4 linked regions of the Caenorhabditis elegans genome follow. The protein of the gene in region 4 interacts with the protein of the main gene of each other region in a pairwise test. Each region holds a gene or a part of one and is shown on either strand. Other genes may lie near its edges. The genes, in order: lin-11, zfh-2, sdz-12 and rbr-2.

Evidence for each region.
Region 1: the proteins of rbr-2 (region 4) and lin-11 interact in a two-hybrid assay, tested with the Caenorhabditis elegans proteins (one large-scale study listed by BioGRID).
Region 2: the proteins of rbr-2 (region 4) and zfh-2 interact in a two-hybrid assay, tested with the Caenorhabditis elegans proteins (one large-scale study listed by BioGRID).
Region 3: the proteins of rbr-2 (region 4) and sdz-12 interact in a two-hybrid assay, tested with the Caenorhabditis elegans proteins (one large-scale study listed by BioGRID).

What each region holds. Positions count from the first base shown.
Region 1 is NC_003279.8:10,246,507-10,254,295, reverse strand, and holds the start of lin-11 (Protein lin-11), read right to left. Parts: upstream 6,005-7,789; 5' UTR 5,958-6,004; coding exon 5,725-5,957; intron 5,519-5,724; coding exon 5,390-5,518; intron 4,623-5,389; coding exon 4,484-4,622; intron 3,129-4,483; coding exon 3,038-3,128; intron 2,453-3,037; coding exon 2,391-2,452; intron 2,086-2,390; coding exon 1,984-2,085; intron 1,661-1,983; coding exon 1,559-1,660; intron 275-1,558; coding exon 160-274; intron 1-159. UniProt on the Caenorhabditis elegans protein: Probable transcription factor which is required for asymmetric division of vulval blast cells. Involved in olfactory plasticity probably by regulating the expression of transcription factor mbr-1 in RIF neurons.
Region 2 is NC_003279.8:801,517-806,406, reverse strand, and holds the start of zfh-2 (Zinc Finger and Homeobox), read right to left. Parts: upstream 3,040-4,890; 5' UTR 3,006-3,039; coding exon 2,933-3,005; intron 2,608-2,932; exon of another isoform or gene 2,535-2,607; intron 2,063-2,534; coding exon 1,985-2,062; intron 1,938-1,984; coding exon 1,512-1,937; intron 808-1,511; coding exon 527-807; intron 1-526.
Region 3 is NC_003280.10:3,729,634-3,733,683, forward strand, and holds sdz-12 (Zinc finger protein sdz-12), read right to left. Parts: upstream 2,191-4,050; 5' UTR 1,916-2,190; coding exon 1,799-1,915; intron 1,676-1,798; coding exon 1,619-1,675; intron 1,555-1,618; coding exon 1,414-1,554; intron 1,358-1,413; coding exon 1,139-1,357; intron 1,096-1,138; coding exon 916-1,095; intron 849-915; coding exon 750-848; intron 699-749; coding exon 519-698; downstream 1-518. Other genes in the region: bath-31 (BTB domain-containing protein), read left to right, coding at 2,393-2,505, 2,551-3,086, 3,131-3,282, 3,325-3,444. UniProt on the Caenorhabditis elegans protein: Together with ehn-3, may play a role in gonadogenesis.
Region 4 is NC_003282.8:10,918,540-10,926,082, reverse strand, and holds the start of rbr-2 (Lysine-specific demethylase rbr-2), read right to left. Parts: upstream 6,014-7,543; 5' UTR 5,977-6,013; coding exon 5,833-5,976; intron 5,790-5,832; coding exon of another isoform or gene 5,783-5,789; coding exon 5,651-5,782; intron 5,392-5,650; coding exon 4,955-5,391; intron 4,727-4,954; coding exon 4,539-4,726; intron 4,490-4,538; coding exon 2,479-4,489; intron 2,316-2,478; coding exon 2,128-2,315; intron 2,082-2,127; coding exon 1,786-2,081; intron 1,355-1,785; coding exon 699-1,354; intron 654-698; coding exon 355-653; intron 1-354. UniProt on the Caenorhabditis elegans protein: Histone demethylase that specifically demethylates 'Lys-4' of histone H3, thereby playing a central role in histone code. Does not demethylate histone H3 'Lys-9', H3 'Lys-27', H3 'Lys-36', H3 'Lys-79' or H4 'Lys-20'.

The sequences.
Region 1 (7,789 bases), on a different chromosome or scaffold from region 4:
GCTTAACCTAGTACATATTGTGCAGAAAATCGACTTTTTGCCATTGGAACACCTGCTTCTAACGCCCTACCCTCGTGTTTTCATCTGTTTTTCACGCTACCGTGATAATTGGTGTTGCGTAATATTTGAGAACGAGAAGAAGCGATTAAGTGGACTCACCATTCGGGAACATATCTACAATATCGTCACGGCGTGGTCTTCGGGATTGACGATATCCTCCAAAACGAAGTTGTTTCATTCTTCGTTCCTTGCTTCGGCGGTTTTGAAACCACACCTGTAAAATGGAAATTTATTTGGAAAACAAATTAATGGAGAAAATTATCTATTAAAGGTAAACCCTGTGTCATTTGGAAAAATATATTTTGAGTGAGCCCCACAGAAAAATTATGTTATCTGTAGAAGAGCATTTTGAACTTGAAAAAGCCGATCTGAAATTGTTCATTTTCATTCTCGGAATTTTACCAAAAGTAGATTTATGGAAGATTCTTAAAGATTTTGGAAACTTTGAATTTTTTGAAAAAAATTACTGAATCTTTTATCACCCAAATTCAATTTTTAAAATTTCAGATTGTTTTGAACGATTGAAAAATTTTCGAAAACGCCCGGATTATTTTCCCAAGTCCAGAAATCCAAGAAAAAAAAGAAAAAATAGTCGAATTTTTTTTTCAATCATATGTTTTTATGAAAAAAAGTTCTATTCAGATCGAGTTTTTTCAGTTCCGAATGGTCCTCTGTAGTTGACTACTTTTTCATTTAGAAGTTTAAAAGTGAACTAAAACACTGTACACGAAGATTAAATTTTTGAAAAAAATCAATATAGAGAGCGAACCCTTTTTTAGTTCAGTTATTTCCAAATTTTCGAATCAAAACACTAAAAGTTATGTGTTAGCAGTTTTTTAAGTTTACTATTATGGGGCAACTGTGCAGATAAACAGAATTAAAATTTAATTGATCGGTGGAAGTAGGCTAAAAATATTTCACACAAAAAATTAAGACTACAATTAATTTTGGAATTCCGAATATTCAGGGTTCAAAAATTTGAACAAAAAAACGAATTTTCTGAGTTCAACTCAAATTTCTCATTGCAATTCTCTCCCTTGACCACTCAGATTTTTATCTTCCAAATTGAAATTGTTTCCCATTTTCTCTTTCATCATCATTTTCGTATAGCTCTCTAAACACAACCAATTTCCTATGGCTTTCCGTTAAGTTTCCTGTTATCAGTTATTATGATTATGATCATTATTATTTCTATTGTTACATAAAAATCATGTGATGTGTACATCTTTCTTACAGTAAATAACATGATATTAGTTAGAAACTACAGTATCCACTCACTTTTTTCTCTTTTTCTTCTTTCCGTTTTTCCCTCTCTCTCCTTTCAAGGACTACGGTAATTGAATTTGTGTGTGTGCGTGTGGAAGGATGTGTCCTCCCCCAAGAGAGAGAAGGGCGGGGCAGGTGAATTAAAGCGGGAAATGAGAATTTGTGAGAGATAGTGCATTTCGAGGATACTTAGACATGTGCAAAAAAAGAAAAAAAGAAGAAGAATAGAAACCTGAATGACTCTCATGTTGAGTCCTGTCTCGGCGGCAAGTTGTTCACGGATATGTCGAGTTGGTTTGGGTGTTGCGGCGAACGCGTTTTTTAAGGTTTCAAGCTGAAAATATTTATTGAAGCTTTGGACAGTAATAAGATATTTTTTAAGTGGGGAAATTCAAGATTTTCAGCAGGAAACGCTGGATTCTTTATCAAACATTAATTAGAATTTTAAAATCTGATATCCTCTGTCAGTTTTGCCCAACTTTGGCAGCACAAATCTTGATCAGACTATGTTTTACCAAAAAATTGTCAACTGACAAAATATTTGTTACACTGACCTGGATTTAGAAATTTAATTATTTTTTCAAAAAGTTATTTCAATAATTATGTTTGCACTTTCCTTTCCGACATAGATAATTTTTTCTACTTCAGAAAACTCACTTGTTTTGCTTTAATTGTCGTTCGAGGGCCACGCCTTTTCGCAGAATTCGAGTCATCTGAATTGTCCTTCCCACAATCGCCTTCTCCATCATCGAGTCCGACCTGAAATTTTAATAAGTTAGATTAGATTCACTTTGGTTCTAACAAAACATTTTGACTTGTAAGTTATAGGTTAAATCTTTTCAATATTTTTAGTGTTGAGCCATTTTTGCAATCATTTCAAATGATACCAGCTGTCAAAAGTAGGGAAGTATGCTTCTTTATTAAACTGATTAGAAAAATATTTGTATTTTTTAAAGATTCGTTTACAGCAAACTTTTTAGCCACTACTAGAACTTTCTATTTTAAAAAAAAGTAAAAACTGATCCTAAATGGCAATTCCAGAGAAGTATATATTTCAGACCCACCTCATCACAAGCATCCACATTATCCTCCTCCACATCGGAATTGCATTCGGATCCATTGGATACTGTAACAAAAGAACATCATCTGTCTAATACCAGTGTATGTCCATTCCGCAACGAGATTATCCCCCCTTCCTTACTATTTTGCGGTAATTCGAATACAAAGAAATGTTTTCTGTGTTGACAGCTGTCTGTCTCTTCCTCTTTTGTGCAGAGATACCTATCATCGTAAAACTATTCAAACAACACATGGCTCGCTGGCTCATCTTAAATACGTTTGAAACGGAAGCATGGATTAGAACGTATGTCTCTGGTTTTATGAGAAGAAGAAGAAATTTCTAAGGATTTTATGACTTGAAATCTGGGAATTCTTTTTTGACTTTTTGGGTATCTACTGAAAATTATGTCTGGCGGTGTTACTTCAGAGATAAAGAATTTCATGGTAGGTAGGCATGTGTTCAGGCTCACTTGTCTGCCTCTAGCCTATCTGCCTTCATTCAATTATTGGAGTAGGCCTTGGACGCCTCAGCAGTCAACAATTTTATGAAAACTCCACCTTCTACCATAACTTTGAACAACTTTTGTATTATCTTTAAAACTCAATTCTTCGTCTCTTTCTCTTTCCCTTTCTTTATTTTTAAAAACCTTACCGGGCCTATGAATCGATGTGGGCGTTGATGTTTTGGTTGCTGTTTGAAAATCACTTTGACACACGAATCGATTGCCTTCCATGATATAAAGCTGCAAAATAACACTAAAAATTCCGCGAAAAAAAAACAAAAACAATCGTGGGAACCCCTCGCATATTTTCATGACAGTTGGAGCTGTCTCAAACCTTGACTAGGTCCCCCGTGTAATGCAATTATAAAGTATAATAGGTTAGAGACGGATGGAAAGAAGATGATTGTAGAGTGACAACAGGACACATCCCAAAGGGAATTGGGGAAGGTTTTGAAGCAGGAAGACAGGATGGAAAATGGAAGGAAAATGGCATTGAGATAAGATCTACCGGTTGGTCAGTGGGTAGTTTAACTGATTTGAAATTAATATAAGCAGAAGCAATGAGCAATGAGAAGATAATATGCGCCTCGAGACATTTTGAACGGTTGCTCCAAAATCCTAGTATTCTTGGAAAATTGTTTTAACGTATTGTTTTTCAACTGATAATGAGAAATGTTTAAAGTATGGTGTCCGGCAAATACTTCCGGCAACTATACAACGACAACCAAATTTTTCAAATAAAACAAATTTTAAAAAAATTAAAATATTTGATTGATCTGAAATAAAGTGTTTTTTTTTTGGAAAAGTTCAAAAAATCTGAAAAACTTTAACAGTAGTTTTGATAACTTCCGAAACAGTACTTGAAGTATTTTTCAAACGTTCCATTTAAAATATTTATTCATTATTTTGAAGTCAATCGAATATTTTTTTCTATATTTCTACATTAATTTTTCTTTTTTAAAAAGTAGAATTATTATACCAAAACAAACAGTATGGAAGTTGAGAGGGTTTTTAGATATTCAGCGCGCCTCTAGACAGAAATAGTTTTTGATGTTCCCTATAATGTTTATGATCAAAATTTTAATCAACTATCTGTTTCATCTACATGAGTCAAAACAATACTCAGAACAGCATCAATGACATTCAGTGACATCTTCTATTCAAGAAAACAAAACATTTTGAATGACAAGAAGGCGTGAAGCTTGAGTGGTAGAGAGCTCTCGGTAAGAGGCAGGTGCAACTGACAGGGGCTCATGATGGGGACACATTCAAGAGGTGTGAGCATGTGATTTTTAGGGATCTGCGTATCTTATTTGCAAATGGGCTTATCAGTATAAGTTAGACGTGAGAAAATAGCGACTATGAATATCTAATTTCATCTGAGTCACCGCTCAACTTATAGAAAAACCTTGATAATGGTGGAGACAAGCTTAAAAAGAACTGCCAGTTAAAACGTCAAATATCACTTACCGTCAGCCTTAAATAATATAAAACTTATTTGAAACTTTAGTTCAATTAAGGTACCAGCCTGGATTAATATATAAGATCAAAAGTACAATCAATCTTATATAGAGAAGAGGCTTAGCCTGGCTCACCTGGTCACCAGTGTCCAATAACCTTTGACAAACGGAGCATTGAAAACATCGAATATGAAAAACTTTATCTCTTGCTCGTCTCACCAGATCCTCTTTTTCCAATTTCCCATCGCATCCGGCACACCGTTGACTATATCGCCTGAAAATCACAATCAGGTAGGTAAAATAATTATGGACACCGTGGGAACCGTGGGAAAATTTAGATATAGAATTTGAAATTTGAAAATCAAAATAAGCAAGTAAGATTTGTTTACTACAAGTGAGCTTGAAAGCATAAGAAATTTGAGAATTTTGGAATATGATCTTCAAAACTTTAGAACATGTTTTGGGAGGATTTTGGAATTGCGGAATCTTTAAATTTTATGCCGTCATTTGCTTGAATATATTCTCCTAGCCCTTTTTGGCAAAGTTTTGGAACTACAATATATCCAGGAGTGGGTGACGATTCGCAGTACGATTATTTGAATTGGCATGAAAAAAACCAATTTTTCAATATGAAAAATATGTTGCAAAAGACTGAAAAAAATCTGAGAGACTTACTGAAAATTGACATCTACCAGAAAATAGTTATTACAATTTCATACCAGATTTCAGGACTTTTTTTTATTTTTCAATGAAAATAAACGTAGTTTTCAAATTGATCATGTTTTATATATTTTTACATAAACTTTTGACTAAAAATTTGGAATTTTGAAATTGTCACTGTTGAAGAATCTTAGAGGTTTTCAGCTTCAAAACTTCAGCGTTCAGTTAGAACTTTTAAAGTTTGCACACTGGAAAATTCAATGGAAAATTCATCACAACCTAATTGTAAGATGTTTTTGAACTATCTCCAAGAGCTCAAAACTTGCAGCCCGGCTCTTTATAGATCACAGTTCTTAGAAATTAATGTTGCTCGGAACTTACCTTGAAAAATCAGTTTTACACAGAATAAGACCATCTCTACTAAAACAAGTCATTGACATGGGCGCTCGACAGTCACAACATCGAAGACAAGACTGATGCCAGCATTTTCCGAGCACAGTGAATACATATCTGAAAGTAAGTGAAAGTGTCGGCTGAAAATGAAATGACTGCTAGTGCTGCTGCTGTCGAAGGGGTTGAGAGGGGGAAATGAATCGAAAATGGAAAAATTCAATTAGGGGCGAGAGAGGTGGTGTTACAGCAGCTAGAGATGAAAATTGGAATGAGACTAAACGGAAAATAATCATAAATTGCAAAAAAAGGTGAGGGACCGATACCTGTCAAGAATAGGCTGTGCACACGCGGCACACTCATTTCCACTAATTTCAGAGATGTGCGGCTGAGTCGTTGACGATGGCATCATCCACGTGGCAGAGTCGAGAAGCAGCAACGTGGCAGATGAGGTGACACTGCCGACGTCTTCAATTGACTGCTGATGAAGATGATGAGCAGGAGGCTTCTTCTCCTCTTCTTCCAGTGAGGTGATGATGAACGAAGAAGAAGAATGCATTGAGAAGGGAGTAAAAGGAGGAGGAGAAGAAGAAGAAGAACGACCACGAAGGTTACGGTGGTTGGGGCACCAGGAGGCTGGCTGGTTGATGGGCGGAGTTATTGACACAAGAGAGAGAGAGAGAGAGAGAAAGCCTGAAGAATGAGAGCTATTGAGGGAAAGAGAGAGAGGAAATTACGAATGTTGAAGCCTAGAAGAAAAATAAGAAGAACGAGAGAATAGGGATCGCTTTTGGTTTAAATGCTCATGATAGTTCAAATATTTTTCATTCACCGTATTTTCTGTATTGCACTACGTTTTCTTTCACACCTTATATCTCTGTTATCTTCAGTTATATCAAAAATAGTCAACATGAGAAATAAAGAAAAATATTTTCCAAGTATTTTATCAGTTTACAATTTTGATAAAAACTAAAGACAGCAAAAATATAAGCTTTTAAAGTAGATCAAAAGGGGTGCAAGTCTAATAGGGTAGTTTTTATAACTTCAAGGGGTGGTTTTTAGTAATTTTTGTTTTGATAGTGACATTATTCTACGATCAAGTTTTGCAAATTACGTTTAATTTTTTTCGGATTTTTTCTGGAATTTTTTACCAGAAGAACGATTGTCTAAAATGGGATACCGTATATATTAATTTTGTACCAATCTACAAAACGGCCCACTTTGGTACAATAACGCAACTTTTCAAATGTGGAAATCTAGAAAAATATTTGGTTCATATGAAAACCAAGTCAATTTTATTAAAAATTTCAGAAAAATCGTCAAACTTTTCCTTAAATTTGCCATTTTCCATAAAAATTGTTTGTGATATTTTTTTAGGCAGTCAACATTCAGCCAGTTTTTCAGATTCTTTTCAATCTTCGCAAAAAAGATTGGGGTTATTTTCAAATTAATACAATATTTTTATACATACATTTTAAATTCAAAAAGTTTGATTATCGTTCCGAAATCGGAAGCTTTAAAATGTTTCTTTTAATTTCAATTGAATTTTTAATTGAACACTTTCTGAGCTGTTAAAGTTGTATAATTGAGTGCGCTAAGATTTAATTCGCTACTTTGAAACTTTCCATTTGTTTTCATCGGGGTCATACAACTACAATGATTTTTACTTTTTTGTATTACATGTTATTTTAGGAACAAATATCCTAAATTAGAAGGATTTTTCTCAGTTCAAAACTTCGCAAGCTCTGTAATTCTGTATTCAAATTGTTTTTCAGCACATTGAAAAAAGAATAGCTAGTCCGGTAAAATACAACCAAAACTTATTTAACCCACAGAAGCAATCTCTTGATAAATACCAGTGAATCGACGGATCAGAGGCGCCCCTTGACGCCTCGACCAAATGAAATCTTTAGACACCACCAATTCAAAATTTTAATTCAAAGAGCCGTCAATGGAACAAATAAACACAGTTTCAATCAGGTTTCGAGCAAAAAGTTCTGCTCTTCACCTGTTTGACTTTGGGCATGTTTTCAATATAATACAAACCACATCCAACCGAACAGAATCAGCTGGATAGAAGGACAAACTCATTCGATATGAAATCAAAAGTGTCACGTATACAACTAGAGTAAAAGTGAAATGATTTTCTCATTTTGAACTTGTCATTTCTTGTGTGTCAACTATATCTACGAGTTCAGTGATTGTTATTTTTTCTTCCGGTGAGGTTGTCCTTGGTCTAGTGTCATCCCATTTCGGGCTTGTCACCTCCTACTGAAACAATGCCATTTCGCGCAGAAATTGGAAATAAAACTGAAGGATTACGGTAATAGAAGACGAGCGGAATGAGATGACGGTAGAATGTGATTCAGTGGAAATTCCTCAATTCATGAA
Region 2 (4,890 bases), on a different chromosome or scaffold from region 4:
CCTAGACTCAGGCTTAGGTTTAGGCTCAGACTACGCGGGGGAAGGGAGAGAAAAATAAATTCCAAAAAATTGAAAATTTATGAAAAACTAAAATAATTCAAGAAAAACTCCCCGCCACGCCTACCGGACCTTAAATTTTTTGCGTGCAAAGACCCTATAATCAATTACGCCTTGCTTGGGCTCCGCCACGAACACTTTCGCGTCAGAACCAAAACCTAGTAATGATTATACTTATTTTAAAGGTCTCAGCGTACTGAATTCAAAATTTTCACTACAATTTTGAGCTTTCTAGGGATATATTGAAATGTTCAAATTTTTGAATTTTTTTTTCAAAAATTGTAGAAAAAAGGCTTTAAAATACGAAAACTGTTAGCCTTGGCAAAGCAAATATTACTCATTACGCTATTAAATCATGAATTTATGTGTATATGCAAATCGGTGCGCATACACACACAGACACACAAAAATGGGAAAAGGGCGACACAATAAAAATAAGAAGATGATGAGAGGGGAATACAAAACTCACAATTTGAACCTTTTGCAGATGCTTATCCGTCCTTGTGTGTAGTTGAAAATTGGCTTTCAATGTGGTATTATACGGGCACAAGTGGCACCGGAAGCTCCCGTTTAGGACGGTAACGTCTCCTTGGAACGTCCTGGAACGGTCTTGTTCCACGTGTTCCATCATTTCGGCGATAGATTCGGTGGCGAAGATACCGCAGATCAAGCAGACCAGGGATCCGTCGGACTCTTCGATTGGACTACTTCGGCTAACTGGAGCACCACACGCGAAGTTGGCTGCGAATTCTGGAAAATTCAGGATATTTTTGAATTAAAATAATAAAAATCTTAAATCTGAATTCAGCTTAAGGCCTTTCAAATAAGTATAATCATGACCCATTTGGGTCCCACCACGAAAACACGGGATTCTGGTCTTCCTCATGTTTTAAAACAAAAATTGAGCCGCGACACGCAACGCGCCGTAAATCTACCCCAGATATGGCCGGCCTAGTTCGGCAAAAACTCTTCCATTTCAATTTATGAGAGAAGCCAGAAAACTACAGTACCCTCTCCCCCATTTTCGTGCCGAGACCCGGGAAATTTGGGTCTCGACGCGATTTTTATTGATTTCGATCTAAACTCAATTTTCTCAGTCTTTTCAAAATAAAACCAATTTATTAAAAAAATCAGAAAAGTTAGGGGCTTTAATCCAAATATAATCACGTCCATTTTTGGACAAGTGGGTCCCACCACGAAAACTACAGTACCCTTTGAGTGTAAGACCCACAGAACGTCAAATTAAAAAAATACTGTAAAATCGAATTTAGCTCACTGAGAACTCTAATTTGAGTATCATTTTTTAGGGTTCAAAAAAGTTGGCGTAAGTGTTTTTGCGTGGCGAGACCCTAGAATCGAAAAGTTCGAGTTCAACAGTTAAATTCTTGTGAAATTCAAATTCTTGGGTCCCACCACGAAAACTACAGTACCCTTCGCCTCCCCCCCCCACCTACCTATACTATTCGGGAGCTCTTGCACTGCATGAAGATGCTTATCACTTTGCATATGAATACTCAAATTGCCCTTTGTCGTCGTACTGTACCGACACAAATCGCATCGATATGGCTTATAACCGCACGAGTACGTCTCACCGCGAGCCAGCTTCGGGTGGGGACGGTTCTCGGCACAAAACATGCACTTGACATCCACATCGTTGTGCTTCTCCTTCATATGAATTTCAAGGGTCTCCTGGTACTTGTAGTGCCAATTACACTTTGGACATTTCAGCGTTTTCGACGAATTTCGGAGTGATGAGAATTGGGAAATGTCGGCGAACGCGCCGAGCGTCGGATCGAACGGAAACGAGGAGGAGAGGCTCGCCTCGTCGAAGCCTGACGCGGCGAGAATCCGTCCCAGCTGACATTTTGTGTTTTCGTTGGCTGAAATTTTTCGGGAAATTGCGGAAAAAATTTGATCTATGACCTACCAAACATCTGAGCCGTCGAAGGATCCGTAAGAAGTCGCATTATCTCCGCAGAATCTGGCATCATTGGTGGTGATGTTTCTGAAAGAGAGAACTTTAGTTTTTTAGTCCTATGGAATGTGGTTCTTCCGCCGCGGCTGACACTTTTCGGGCTCCACGCGCGGCACTATACACGGGGTTCTGGCCTTCCTTATTGAATTTTTCGCGCTCCATTGGCAATCGCCCGCCGGTCAACGCGTGGGCAAGTCGTGCACTCCACACGGACAAATACATTTAGTTTTACAACTAAAATCGAGCCCAGATGTGACCGAGCCAAGATGGCCTAGTTCGGCAAAAACTCTTCCATTTCAATTTATGAGGGAAGACAGAAGGCCGTGACTATACAGAAGGCGCGCCGCGAGTTAGGCGGAGGTCGCCGCAAAACTGGAGCAGCAGGCGTTTTGGAGGCCCTAGGCGCGCGCGGAACCCTGTACATGTCGGACCATGGTATCAGTTTCGCTATCTCTAGTGCACATTTAAAGCACATATGTACCTCCATCTTGAGAAAGAAATTTCATCTTGCAAGGAATCGAACCCCGGACCTATTGTTTAGAGCTGAAGCGTGTTAACCACTAGACTACAAGCGGCGCGACATGATTCTGGCGGTACTGTAAATTAAATACCACGACAATGCAAATGCGCTCTAGCGACGAACTCTAGTTTCAGAAAGCCAGGAGGTTCAAGGTACACGTGGTGTCAGAGTATGATCTACGTAGATCTACAAAAAAATGCGGGAGAAAAGATTTAAAAACTTGCTTATGTCACATTTTTTGGGGAAAAAATCCCGCATTTTCTGTAGATCAAAAAGCAATGGGACAACCTGGCACCACGTGAAGGTAACGTACCTTTGAAAATGATTTAAAAAAAAAGAAGTCTTGGCCTAAAAATTATCGGTCCCCCGGCCAAACTCACCCCTACTCTCCGTAGACTCTGAACTTGTCGGCGGTTTGTTGTTGTCATCCATTGTCAAAAGTGCCACGTCCATTCTACCATTTAGCCAATATATGGGCGGGGCAACTCTGGAAATTTTTTTGGATGAATTTGTGAGGAAAAAGTGAAAAAAAAATTTAAAAAACGCGAAAGTTGGAAAAGTGGAAAGTTTGAGAGTGATTTAAAATCTAATGAGTCGCAAATGAGAGAGAGAGAATCGGGGCGGGGGGGGAAGCGCGGAGCTCGCCCCACCACCACCACATGTGCTTGCAATTAATTAAATTTTCGAGGGAGCGGGGAGCCCAGGAGAGCCATCCCCGGAAGCTAAACTTCATAAACTTCAAATGAGCACTGAGAGTTGAGTTGACACCTGTGTTGTGAATGAATGTGAGGAGAGGTATTCGGGGGATAGTTACAACAACAATTACACAACACTGACAGGGGACTACGGTAACCATATGGAGGAGCTGGAGGAGCACACAAAACTTGAGACAATGTTCCCCGCATATGTTAGGGGGGTGCCGACACTCTCAGAAAAAAAAAACGGGGGACACTTTGTTTCTAATGGTGTTTCGCGTTTATTGGGTGATCATTGTGGAGATTCACACCTGCAGTTCTGACTACTGATTCATAAGATCACGGGAGCGGAAGCAGCAGCAGCGCAAGGGGTGTAAGAAAAATCATAACTTTGGGGTATGAAAATGGGATAAAGGAAACGGCAACGACAATTGTAGAACGAAAGTCGGAGGCCTAGGCAGGCGTGGCCTCAGGGCCTGATGCCTGCATTTTGGCATGAACTTACAAAATTTTGTAATTTCCGTATTTTTATCAATTTGATGAAAAACATTTTAAGAGATAAGGCTCGGATTGAGGCGAGAGGCAGGCGGAGGTCGCCTTAAAGTCAGGCAGGCAGGCAGAGAACGTCTGAAAGTCAAGCAGGCAGGCGAAAGTCGCCTGAAGGTCAGGCAGGCAAGCGTTTTAACGCCTACTTAAAAACCCTATTCAAGAGCTAGTTTATGAAAACTTTCTTCAAAACTCAAGTTTTACAAATTTTCTGAACATTTTTGAAACGAAAAATGGTTTGAATTTTTTAAAGCTGATTCTGTATGATCTACGTTTTGAGAAAAAAAATTTAATTTTTTCGGATTATTTTTTGAATATTATTTTAAATTTTATAGCAACTCTAAAAATTCGATATTTTTACAGATTTTCAGAAAAAATAGTAATTGCAAAAATTTTTAAGCTTTTTAAAAATGGCTTAGGCTTAGGCTTAGGCTTAGGCTGAGACTCAGGCTTAGTCTTAGGCTTAGGCTTGAACTCAGTCTTAGTCTTAGGCTTAGGCTTAAGCTTAGGTCTCAGCTTCGGCCCAGGCTTAGGCCTAGGCTTTGGCTTAGGCGTAGGCTTAGGCTTGGCGTCAGTGGGGGAGCGTGAGCTCCCACACTGACGCTATTTAGGGTTATTAGGCTTAGGCTCAGGCTTAGGCTTAGATAAACAAACATTTTTTTAAAATAAAAATTTAAAAATATTTCACTGAAAAACTGTTCAAAAAAGTTAAAGAAAAACGTTTTTTATCTGAAAAATTTTTTTAGGCTTAAAACAACTTTTTTGACTAATGTCTATTTTTTTTTGATTATATTTACAAAAAAAATATGGCTGAGCTCAAATTTTTAGGTCTGCAAAAAAAAGGATCCCCAGAAAAAGTGAGAATGAAGCGTGAGAGGAGCAATAAAATGGGCGGGGCGCCACACGAAGAGCACCCTCGTTATAACTGGCTGATTAGGCATTTGAGAAGAGGAAAGTTGAGGGAAGATGATGGGTGTGGAAAAAGTGAGGCGTGGCCTATTTTATACATTGGTGAATCTGATTATTCGGAAGGGGCAGCGCACGACGAAGAAATTTCGACGCGCAAATTTTGAGCAAATAAGAAGTAGGAGAAGAGG
Region 3 (4,050 bases), on a different chromosome or scaffold from region 4:
CACATTTGGTGTTCCGTATGTGATTGCTCAGAGATTTCTGAGAATGTAATTACTTGAACTGTTGCACCTTGCGCAATTCCTGAAAAAAAATGGATCCTTTATTAATTAATTTGTGAAAATTTTACAGTACCTGAGAATAAACTGGCACAAGAGCTTGAGCTTCAGGCAGGTCCATTGATAAGAGAGTAGAGGTGAAGGAATAAATGAACCCGCGCAGAGTGTTTTGGTGGGGCGCAATTATCGATTTGGCGCGCGGTATTGGCAGAGAGCAAATGGGAAGGAGAGTGAAGAAGATGTAGATAGAAAAAGAAACTATGCGTAGTTTGATCTACCAGTCCTGTATTCTGAAGACCAACTAATTGTTTGATTACTCCATAAAATCAGTGATCACGATAGAATAGGGTACTGTAGGTTACCGTAGTTATCAACAATTATCAGTTTCCTTCAAGGGCGAGAACGAGATTCATTGAGTACTTTTAACAAGAAAAAATATTAATTAAGCAGTAGAATCTTATCAATTAAGTTCCTATGCCACCAAAATCATGACTCGCAGTGATGATGTGCATGGTGAACACGATCTTATTTCCACATTCTGCTCCACAAATTGCACATTTGAATGGGCTTCCTGGCGCGTGAAGGGCGTTATGCATGATGCTCATTGTGGCATCGTGGAACTTGATCGTGCAGTGCTTGCATTCCTGAAGAGCTTTTGAGTTGATGAAAGTGTACTTTGAAACTTAAGAACTTACAAAGCTTGGGGTTGGCTCACTGGTAATTAGATTTCTAAACCTTGGCTCATTGGGGCTTAGAGTTGGTGAGAGCTGTTGATCAGTGTTTGGAAGAGTTGCCTGAAAATTTCAAGTCTAATGGTTTCAAAGAACGGCACCAAAACCAATATTGAAAATGAAAACATACCGAGTTCTGTTCACAGAATTCTTCGATCATCGGGGAAGTTCCTAGATTTATGCTCAATTTTTGAGGCGGCTTCTCTTGTGGCGAGATTGCCAACTGAGCTCTGGGACTTCCTGAAGTTGATACGGTGATAGGTGACAGTCTGGCGGAGCTTGTGGGAGCAGGAGCCGAAGAGCGCAGAGCCTGAAAGGATTGTTAAGTCTTAAAGAATTATAAAGCTTTTCACCTCTTTATGATCAAAATGGTAGTGTACCAGGAGATGCCTAGGACTCCCGAATAACTTGTGGCATTTTCCACACGGAGCCGATTCGCTGTATGAAAAGTGGTGATGGTTTACGAGATGATTTTCAACGCCCTCATAGAATACGAACTGCATTGAACAGTTCAACACGGGACAGTCGAAATGTGATCTTTCCTTGAGATGGTTGTGCAGGTGCCTTTGAAGCTGAAAATTACAAATTGCTGGAATTGAACAGGAAAAATGGAATAAAATCTGCTTGCCTGATCTTCCCTGAAGAATGTTCTCTGGCAAGTGCTGCACTTCTTGGATTTTGAACCAGAGTGAGTTATTTGATGACGCTTCAAGTTTGGCTTGTTGGTGAATTGTTTCTCACAATTTTCACATCTGAATTTGTGATTGACCTGAAAAAACGTATAGTTGGAGGAGGAGAAGCTCAGTGGCTTAAACATTTTCTCAAAAACTCACCACATTGGAACGTCCAGGCCTACACGTAATGTGCTTCATGTGCGTTCTCAGCGTTTTCTGAAAAATGGTAGTGAGCTCTATATACTAACTAGCAAAAAAAGGAAGATTATCTGCTGTACAGTAAATTTTGTAAAATTAAGATAAATTAACAACACTTTTTTGCTCACTTCAAAAACTAACCTGATTCGCGAACTTTCTTTTGCAAACTTGACACTGGGGCACCTTAGCAGAATCCTGATCCAAAGTGGAAGAGGTTGCAATAAGCGACAATACGGCGTCTAGTGATGACAAACTCATTTTCACAGAAGAAATCTCTGCGGATTGTCCGAGGGCAGGGAGGAAGGGGAGTGAGAAATGTTTTTGCGTAGTTGCAAAAAGAGGTACATAAGTTCAAAGACTGTGTCCTCGAAAGCTGTGAGAAGTTGCGTCACATATGACGTTGGGGCTTTTGGAGAAGCGGGGCCGACGAATTTATGAAATGTGTGTAATTGCACATTGTAGAGCTGATTGAGTTTTTCAGTATCTCAGTTTTTTCAGTAATTTCTCCATTGACGATGCACCTTCTTTGGGGGGAATATTGTAATCTTTAACAAAATTCACAACATTTTTGGAAGACCAGCTGCCAACTGTGCCAAATTTGCCGGGAAACGAGACGCTGCATTATGCATTATTTTATCGATCCACTAAGATTATCTCCTAGCGTTATTCACTCATAATCTGCCTCTACAAGTCTTCCTATTCGTCATTTTTCTGCAATTTAGTAGGTTAGTAGACATGCTCGTTATAACAAAGGAATTTGTGTCAACTTACACTATTAAAGCAATCTCCAACTTCAAGCCGGATACCACTTATTGCAGCGAGGTTAAAGAATATTACTATATTCCATGGTATTTTTAACTTTCCTTTTTTTATTTAAATTTTTATATTTCCAGGAAACTCCATGTCAATCGAAGAACTGATCAACTTGAGGTGTATCTTAGTTGCGACCAACTTGGCACAATTTGGTCAGTTCAGGCGAATGTTGAAGTGAAGCTTAGATCTCCCAATGAATCTCCCCACTGCAAAACAGCCACTGTAAATTTCAATAGTGAGAAGCCGAAGGAAAACTCATGGGGATGGAAGCAGTTTGCCGATTGGGAGAAAGTCGCAAAAAACTTTGTGATTGAAGATGCGCTACACTTTAAAGTTCATGTTCAAATATTGAACGCTTCTGGGTTCAAGGGAAGAGATCCGGTTTTGAAGTTCGACAATGAGTCTATGGGAGAGCTGTCCGATGTGGTTTTGGTAGTGGATGAGCAGAGATTTCATGTTCTGAGAAAGCATCTCGCTCTGCAGTGCTCCTACTTCAAATCCTTGTTCTTTGGCAGTTTCGGCGAGTCGAAGAAATCAGAGGTTACCCTCTCTGGGATAGACCCGGAAGCCTTCCAGGCATTTTTGGAAGTTCTCTATTTGGAGGACTCGATTGATGGTTAGTTTTTAGTGCTCACATTGGTAATAATTTAAAAATTTCAGACAATACCGTCGAAGGAATCCTTCAACTTGCTGACATGTACGATTCTAGAGCGGTTATTGGGAAATGCGAGAAATTTCTTTACAAGGAGTCCGAGAAGTCCGGGAAAAAGAAATTGGAATTGGCAATTAGATACAAGTTGGAGAAACTAGAGGTAAGTGCGTGCACCTGAATATAACCTTATTTTATCTTCCAGATTCACTGCTGCAACACCATCAAAACCATCCAAGATGTCCGCTCAATTATCGCTGGAAACATTGATGAAATGAGCCCATTCCTGATGAAGCGGGTCTTGAAGCGAGTTCTTGAAGTTTAAAAATTGTTCGTTTTCAAATATGAATTGCATTTTTCTAATAACTGATTTTTGGCCACTATTTTTTCTCTGTTTTCAATTGTAAAGTTTTATTTGCCAGTACAAAAAATAAATTTACGTTTTCTTTATATTATATTGATGAGAAAATTTGAAGACTTACAGAAGAAATTCAAATCATGAACCAGACCAAACCAGAAAAAGTCAAGTCAAGAATTCAAGAAACTTTTATCTAGCATTTCATAAAGTATTTTGATAAGACATATACATAGTTATATTTTGTGGAGTTTAAAAATATAGTTTTGAAAAGTGAAGTTCAAAAACATAGAAAAATAAGAAGTTAGAGGTTTCGAAAATAAGCTTAATTCGAAAGACTCGAAAAAAATCTCAAAAACTGGAAAAAATTGAAGATTTCAATCGTCGGACGGTGTTTGACAGTAACTCGTCGTCGTCGTCGTAAATAGAAGTAGTGTTGATTAGAAAAAACGATGGAATAAAGAAATCAGAACCTCCAAATAGAAAAAGTTCCATGAATGTTTTTAATTCGATAGGCACGCATGCCATGAACATCAGATTCCTCGGCTGAATTAGGCATTAGTAGCTCTGGGCTAG
Region 4 (7,543 bases):
AATACGCAAAATTGAACAAATATGGTAGCCGGTCTCGACACGGCAATTTTTTTTACTTGCAAAAAAGTTGTGTGCCTTTAAAGAGTAAATAAAAACGCGGAAGTTTTTAAAATTTTTTAAAGTTTTACGACAATGAAATCCCACAGAAACGAGAGTTGGTAACTACAGTATACTTTTTGAAGGCGCACACCCGTTTGTGTTTCACAAAAATTGTCGTGTCGAGACCGGGTACCGTATTTTTGGCACAAAGTTTTTTTTTGAGATCAGGTCTGTCACAAAACAAAGGTTCGTTTTTTTTTCTCCTTACAATTAAATTTTTTTTCCAAAAAACCACAAAACCCGATCTTAATTTACCTCTCAGAGTGAATCCAAGACAAATCACATGGAACCAGTTTTTGCAGCCTGCTTCACACATCACCCAGTTCACTGAGTCTCCATATGGCTTCAAACAGGCGCGAGCTTGACACGACTTGAATTCAGACTCGTCTTCGTAATATTCACTGGGTGATGCTTGACTTTGACGTTTGCGTGATTTTTTCGACGTCTCTTTGTGTGAAACACTTGGCCTTTTGCGTTTAGCTGTGATTTTTGGATCGAAGAGTGATACCGATGGTTTTGAACGAACCGGGCGATTTTTGAGTTCTAGTGCGGCGCTGAAAAAATTAAAAATAAAATTAATACATATAATGTGTACAAACCTTGACTGTTTTTGAAGATATTCCATATAAAATTCTGAAATCAGCTCGCGTGCCTTCGGAAGACCATTGGGATTCAGAATTTCACACGATAGCCAATCGAATAAGGCAATTTTACAAATATCGTCGCTGGATTCTCCTGATTTCCGTTTATTAGCAGCTTCCATCAAATTTTGAGTGATTCCACGAGTTTTTTGTATTAGATTTCGAACAAGATGTGTTTCCAAACATCCAGAAGGTGTTCCATTCAGAGCAGTTGTTACATCATCAATGACTGGACGTTGTCCCCGTAGACATCGAACACATAAAAAGCATCCTTCTGGAAGTTTTTCAAGGAACGGTGACCACTCGCAACATCGAACATGAAACTCTGAATCGCACATTATGCATGTCAGTGTTGATTCGGAATCATCTGATTTGTTGAATCCAAGACATGAGCATGCTTCAAGACCACGAGCTGAATTTGCTTGTTTCACCTTTTCAAAAATTCTCATTTGCATTTCACGTAGCGATGATTGATGATGCACAATTTGATCTAATGACTCGAATTCTTTCATTTGATGCCATTCATCAGATGGATGTACTGCGCCTCCTTGAAAATATAATGGTATCGTTTGTCCTTCAGCAAGTGGAGTTAAATCATCGCGTTCGGAGAGAATCTGGAAAATTCAAGTTTAAGGCAAATTAGATCGAAGCTAATGTCTATGCTACTTCCTGATTGGATTAATGTTACCCAAATATACGGTCACCGGTCTCGACACGAAATTTTTTCGTTTAATTTAAAAAGGTGCGCGCCTTTAAAGATACTGTAATTTCAAATTTTTGGTTCTGCGAAATTTTCCTTGATTTTTCTTTTTTTTTCTTAGTATTTGTCTCATGTTTTTAATTATTTCAACATAGTTTTTTATTAAATAAATAAATTTATAACGAAAACTATGAAAAATCTATGAAAATTCCGCAGTAACGAAATTATGAAGCTACAGTAATCTTTAAAGGCGCACATTCGTTTGTATTTAACTAAAATTGTCGTGTCGAGACCGGGTACCGTATTTTTTGCGAAAAATCGTCAAATTTCACGAATCTCACTCACTTCAAAAAGATTGTGATACGCATTATTTGGCTTGAACAGAATAGCTATCCTCTGAGTAAATGCATTCATTGTGCTGATCATATCCAAAATCCCGAGATGCTCTTCGGAACCGTTTAGACATTTTGAAGTTTCGAATGCTTTACTGATTTCGGCCGCCTTCGATAGTGTAATTTCAACATTGACAATTTTCTGCAGTTGTGTTTTTAAATCAAATTCTGATAGCACGGGAATTGCGGCATCTATCATTGACTTGATTTTGGCAACATGAATGATCTCATAGCGAACCATGTTAATATCTTAAAAATTATTTTGTAAGAATTACTAATGCATTAAATAACAAACATTTTTCATAGAACCAATCAGTTTCTCTAAGGCTTTGCCAAATTGATTGAAGCTGATCAAGTGCTGGATTCTCACAGAAATTGTTTGCAATGACCTCGAGTGTATTGGCGTCACGGAGCATTTGTTGAAGTTCAAAGACGAGTTTAGAAGTACCATCTGTGGGATTTCGTGGACTATCACGAATCAATCTGAAACATATAATTGAATTTTTGAATTAAAGGGGTATAGAGTATTTGGAAATATTTTTAAGGTCTCATCATGAAATTCGGTCGTTTTGGGCCGAGCCCATTCGAGGAAAAATCCACAAACACAAATTTCCTTTTAAGAGAAAAAATATTTTTAAAATCTTACGATAAAATATCACTGGATGCATATCGAAGCTTATACTCAAAATCAATATCTTTCTCCATATCGGGAGTTGCCTTCCATGTAGTAACTTTTCTTGCTCTATCCGACCAATCCTTCATTTGAATAACTTTTCGCAACTCATCGATTTCTTCCAATTTAATATCATATTCATCTCCCTCTTCAATAATCTTCTCGATTTCTTCTTTTGAGTATTCTTGTTCTCGATAGATAGCATCTTTTGCTCTGTTTCTCCACATTTCAACTTGTTCCATCCATTTCTCAAGTTTATCAATAATAACAGTCAAATTGCAATCCATGGCTTGCATTTGTTCAATCAATGACCGTACTCCCTCGGTGTCTGTACGAGTGTCGGCTCTCTGACATCGGGTTTTTGTTCGCGTTCGTACTTTCTTAAAGAGCAATTGATTTGCTTTTTCAATGGCACTCTTGGCTGTATGACGAATTGTTATCAATTTATGAACTTGATCTGTCTGTGGATACTTGTTTTGTTTGGCAGAATCTATAAACTCTTCAATTCTCTCGAGTTTTGGTTTTCCTTCTTCTTCAAGCATCTCATCCGACTCTTCTTTCCATCCATTGTAGTTAACCGTACGCTTTCCAAGTTCATCACACATATTGTTCAATTGATCCAACTCGAATCTGTACTGATATCTGTAGTCTTTCGTTGTACACGAATTGCAAAGATGATCATGATGTTCAACACAAGTCATTTTCTTGTGTTTGTTACAAACCAATGCACACATGAAGAGAGTCGTCTTACAAAAACGACACGATCTTTGTTCATCTGGAATCTTTTCGAACATCACTTGCTGCATTTGGCGATTGGAAACTCCGAGGCGAGCGAGAAGTTCTCTCAACATTTTTTGTTTTTCATATATTCTTATCAGTTCTTCATGTGTTGCTAAACTCATCGAAATTCCAAGTTTATCCATTGCTTCAACCATTTTAAAGAGAAGCTCATCATGAGAAAATACAAGATATCTTCGTACATTTGAGTAAGACTCAACGCATTCTCGACCTTTTGATAGCCAATCAATTGGAGCGAAATTGACAGCTTCCGCAAAGTTGAGTCCCTCATTGAAACCAGCATGATAAGCACGTGGGAATGTAATGACGAATTCACCAGCATTCTGGTGAACTGAATGAATTGGAACTCCCAATGAACGAAGAAGATGAGGATTTGCAGCTGTAGTCATATGATGGAATAGATCTCTTTGTCTTCCAGTTAATCCAGGTGCTATTTTCTTCAATGCATCTTCAAACTTTTCAGCATCTTCTCCACCAACACCGTACCAAATTTTCCGTTCTCCAAAATGATTATAGTTAACAGAATACGTCCAATGATCTTCGGTGTGCCAGCAGAACGTCGAGAAGCACATACCAACATAGACCCACGGTACCATCATTCCAGAAATTCCAGTATTAAAATGTGAGAGAACAGATTCTCGAAGTACAGGCATATTGTTCAGATTCCATGCATGTGAAGCGTATTGCTGCTTCAGCTTCAGATCTGGGCCAGTGTGCTTATCTTCTTTTCGAGGAAATCCACTTCCTACTCGACTCGTAATCAAGTCGGCACCGTATTTGACAGAAACTGGATTTTCGTGTGAAATTACATTCTTCCAGAATGATCGTTCCACAGCATCACACGACACTTGTGATACATCTTTTACACCGAAATAATCACATTTCCATTTGTTGGCAAATTCAGTGAATGAGTTCAGATTGTATTCTGTGTCCGCATCATAAAATCCCCAGTCTAATCCGATTTTTGCATCCTCTGATTCAATGCACTTTGGACATCTCCACTCGCCTTCTGGTACTTCATCGAGTACTGGATCACAACAATATGTATGACGACCATTATTGCATCCATCAATATCGCAAAGAAGTAGTAGATCTTCATCCTTTCCTTCATTACAAGCAACGCAGAATACTTGATCCATTGGATCTTCATCATCATCATCGTCTCCTTCGGCTTTCTTCTTATTTTCTGTAATTTGTGAAAATAAATTTAAAAAATTTAAATTTAAAAAACGAACTTCTTCCTCTGGTTGAATTCTTCTTTGAAGATGTTCCAAGAGTCTTTCTTGAAGATGAAGCCTTCTTATTTTTAGATCTCCGTCGACCACTTTGCATCGACACTGGACACTCATCTTCCCCTCCTTCAGTAGTTTTATCATTTGGAACTTCTATTTCTGTCCGCATAGTTCCGTGGTGATGTTGATATCTATGAAATTCATTCGTTTTTAATTAGAATAATGGGGGAAATTATTAATAACAAAATTAAAAATTTTACTATTTATCGGTTTTAACATTTTTTCATGGTTCTAAAAAACAAAAACATGGGTACATAAGAAAAATTTAAAATGCATATAATTTCAAAAAAATCCATCTACATTATGTTTTCTTAACTGATTTGTAGATTTTTATTTATTTAAATTTCTTAATTACTCACTTATGCTTTAATTCTTCCATTTCATCATCACTTTCATCATCATTTTTCATCGCTTTTTCTTTCAAATTTCGATTAAATGGTTCAATGTGCAAATTATAATGTGATCGAATCAAATTTATGAAAGCCGACGGAACACCGCGAGCCATTTGCTCCTTTGGAAGGTATTCGCGGGCAACGTCTCTCCATTTTTCATCTTCATTCACTTCTTCACATCCTCCAAAGTTTTGAACTATACGATGTAATCGATACAAATCGACAATATTTCCATCTCGATCCACTGGAAACTCAAAAGTTAGACCAGAATATCGATTGAAATTGATTAATCGGTCAATAAATGTGTGTTTCTCTTTGACAATTGCCTCCACTTCATTCAGTTTTTGAGTTCGGGGACGAAATGTAAAGGCTTCTTTGTCGATAGCAAACGGTGGTTTGAAATTCTGCAAAAAAAGAGAGTTGATGCTTCTCGATTCGTTTTTTGAGGGAAAAATCAAAAATTTTCAGATAAAATTGCACTTTTCAAGTGGTGACCATTCTTTTAGTAAACTGAAAATTTTCTAATATTTAGTATTTAATTGAAGGGAGTAGTAGAAGTTTTTAAACTACTACAAACATTGTTTCGCTTTTTTTCAGACTTTTCAAAAACGATTAAAAACTTGTTAAACGTCAGACGTACAATTTTCCGAATAAATAACTTACCGCCGGCGGAACAATTTTAACAACTCCAAATTTTTCGGCCTCGTGTCGTATTTTGGCAACATACTCGATTGGATCTGAGAACTCTTCTTCTGTCGGGTAGTAAATTGGAGCCATTGGAGGTCGTACGAATTTCTGAAAACTATGAAAGCTTATTCACCTTATGTATGTCTTAGTAATCAAACCTTATAGAATTGATCGTACATTTCCATTTTGCTTCCATGATTCTTAGATCTTGAATTTCCGATGGATGCTTTCTTCCGCGGAGAAGTGCTCGTCGACGGTGCTGACGGCGTCGAGATACTGTTCTCTTGACGACGTGCACGCATTTTTCAGTTTGGCTTATAGCTTCATGAGATCTGTAAATTTCATTTTTGTTTGACTTTAATATTAATTGAAATTAAAAGCTTTGAGAAGAAGAACATTTTAAGTACCGACGAGAAATTTCCATGTGATGAAACAAGATGCATCACGAGTGTTATGATAGACGTCATAGAAACCCGGAAATGAAAATTAGCTTATACTCCTTTAAAATTGGCTTTTAAGCTTTTTCTTATTAAGCTTTTGATTTGAACTTAATATTGTATAAATAATTAAGCTGAAAAATGACTCATATTTAAATATATATATTTCTCCAATTTTTGAGGTCGAGCAGCTTTTCAAAGTTTAGACAAGGATCTTTGGTAGAGTTTTAAATGTAGGTCAAGACACGTAAGGCATCGTATAGTAACTCAAATCATTGAAAACTCCATCTCTCTGAATCTTTTTGATGTGTCACCTAAAATGCATTGAGAGACTGGTATTCTTTGACCACTTTGCAGTAGGTCGGTGTCCTTTTCGTCAGAAATTGCGTGCGGTAAAGATAAGCGGAGAAACAGAAAAAAATATAGATAAAATCGAAAAACCGAGAGGAAATAGCCCCCAGCGCCCACCAGGGTCGGCCCACGAAAATCGAGGAAAGTGCGCTCCGCCGAACATTACTCTCGAGTGTCCACTCTCGTCGTCTTGTCACTCCTCTGTTTGCATGCTATTCGCTAGCAATAATCTCTCGGTCTCCTGCCCAATCACACTTTATTCATGTTATGTGCGCGACGCGTTCTCGCATGTGCCTCCTAGTAATACGTGAATTTTTGCACTAACTTTTTTTTGAGGCCAGCAGCTGAGGAAAGATGGGCGCACACAAAGAAAACGAAGAGAAAGCAGGAAGACGCATGTAAAATGAACACAGACTGAGAGAAAAAGAGAACATGGAATTATGGCTCCGAGAGCCAGCATTTTTAATTGAAGATTTGAGACTGTGTTTGTTTACTACGGTTTTAAAGGGAGGCGTATCAATGCGGAATGGTCTCGCCACGCACTGCGAACTCATGAAAAAATTGGCGTGTGCGCCTTTAAGATGACTGTAGAGATTTTTCTGGCATGTCTAATTACATAAAATACAGAAAATTGGGAAAAGAACAATCGAAAATGAAGAAAAGGGAGAAACGAGAAAATTGGAGATTTGCCAGCAAACCCTCTACAGTAATCTTAAAGGCGCACATACCAGATTTCTGAAAAAAAAATCGCAGAGCGTGGCGAGACCATTCCGCATAAACTCGCCACTTTAAAATCATAGAAGTTGTAAAAAGTACACAGTAATATGTAGAAACTGATTTCGCCGAATTGTGAATCTCCATAGTTTCTAAGGAATGTGAATATTATTTTTCAAAACTAAATCAAACTCATTAAAAAGTTATTATGCGCCCGTTTTGAAATAAACGATGGTTGCGCGCGAGAGAATGAGAAGACATAGATTATAACTGCAAAAGCAGAATCAGCTGTCTGCGTGTGAAGAAGCTGATTAAAAACGAAAGGGCGAAAAAGACTTGTTTCACACGACTACACACATTCTTACGA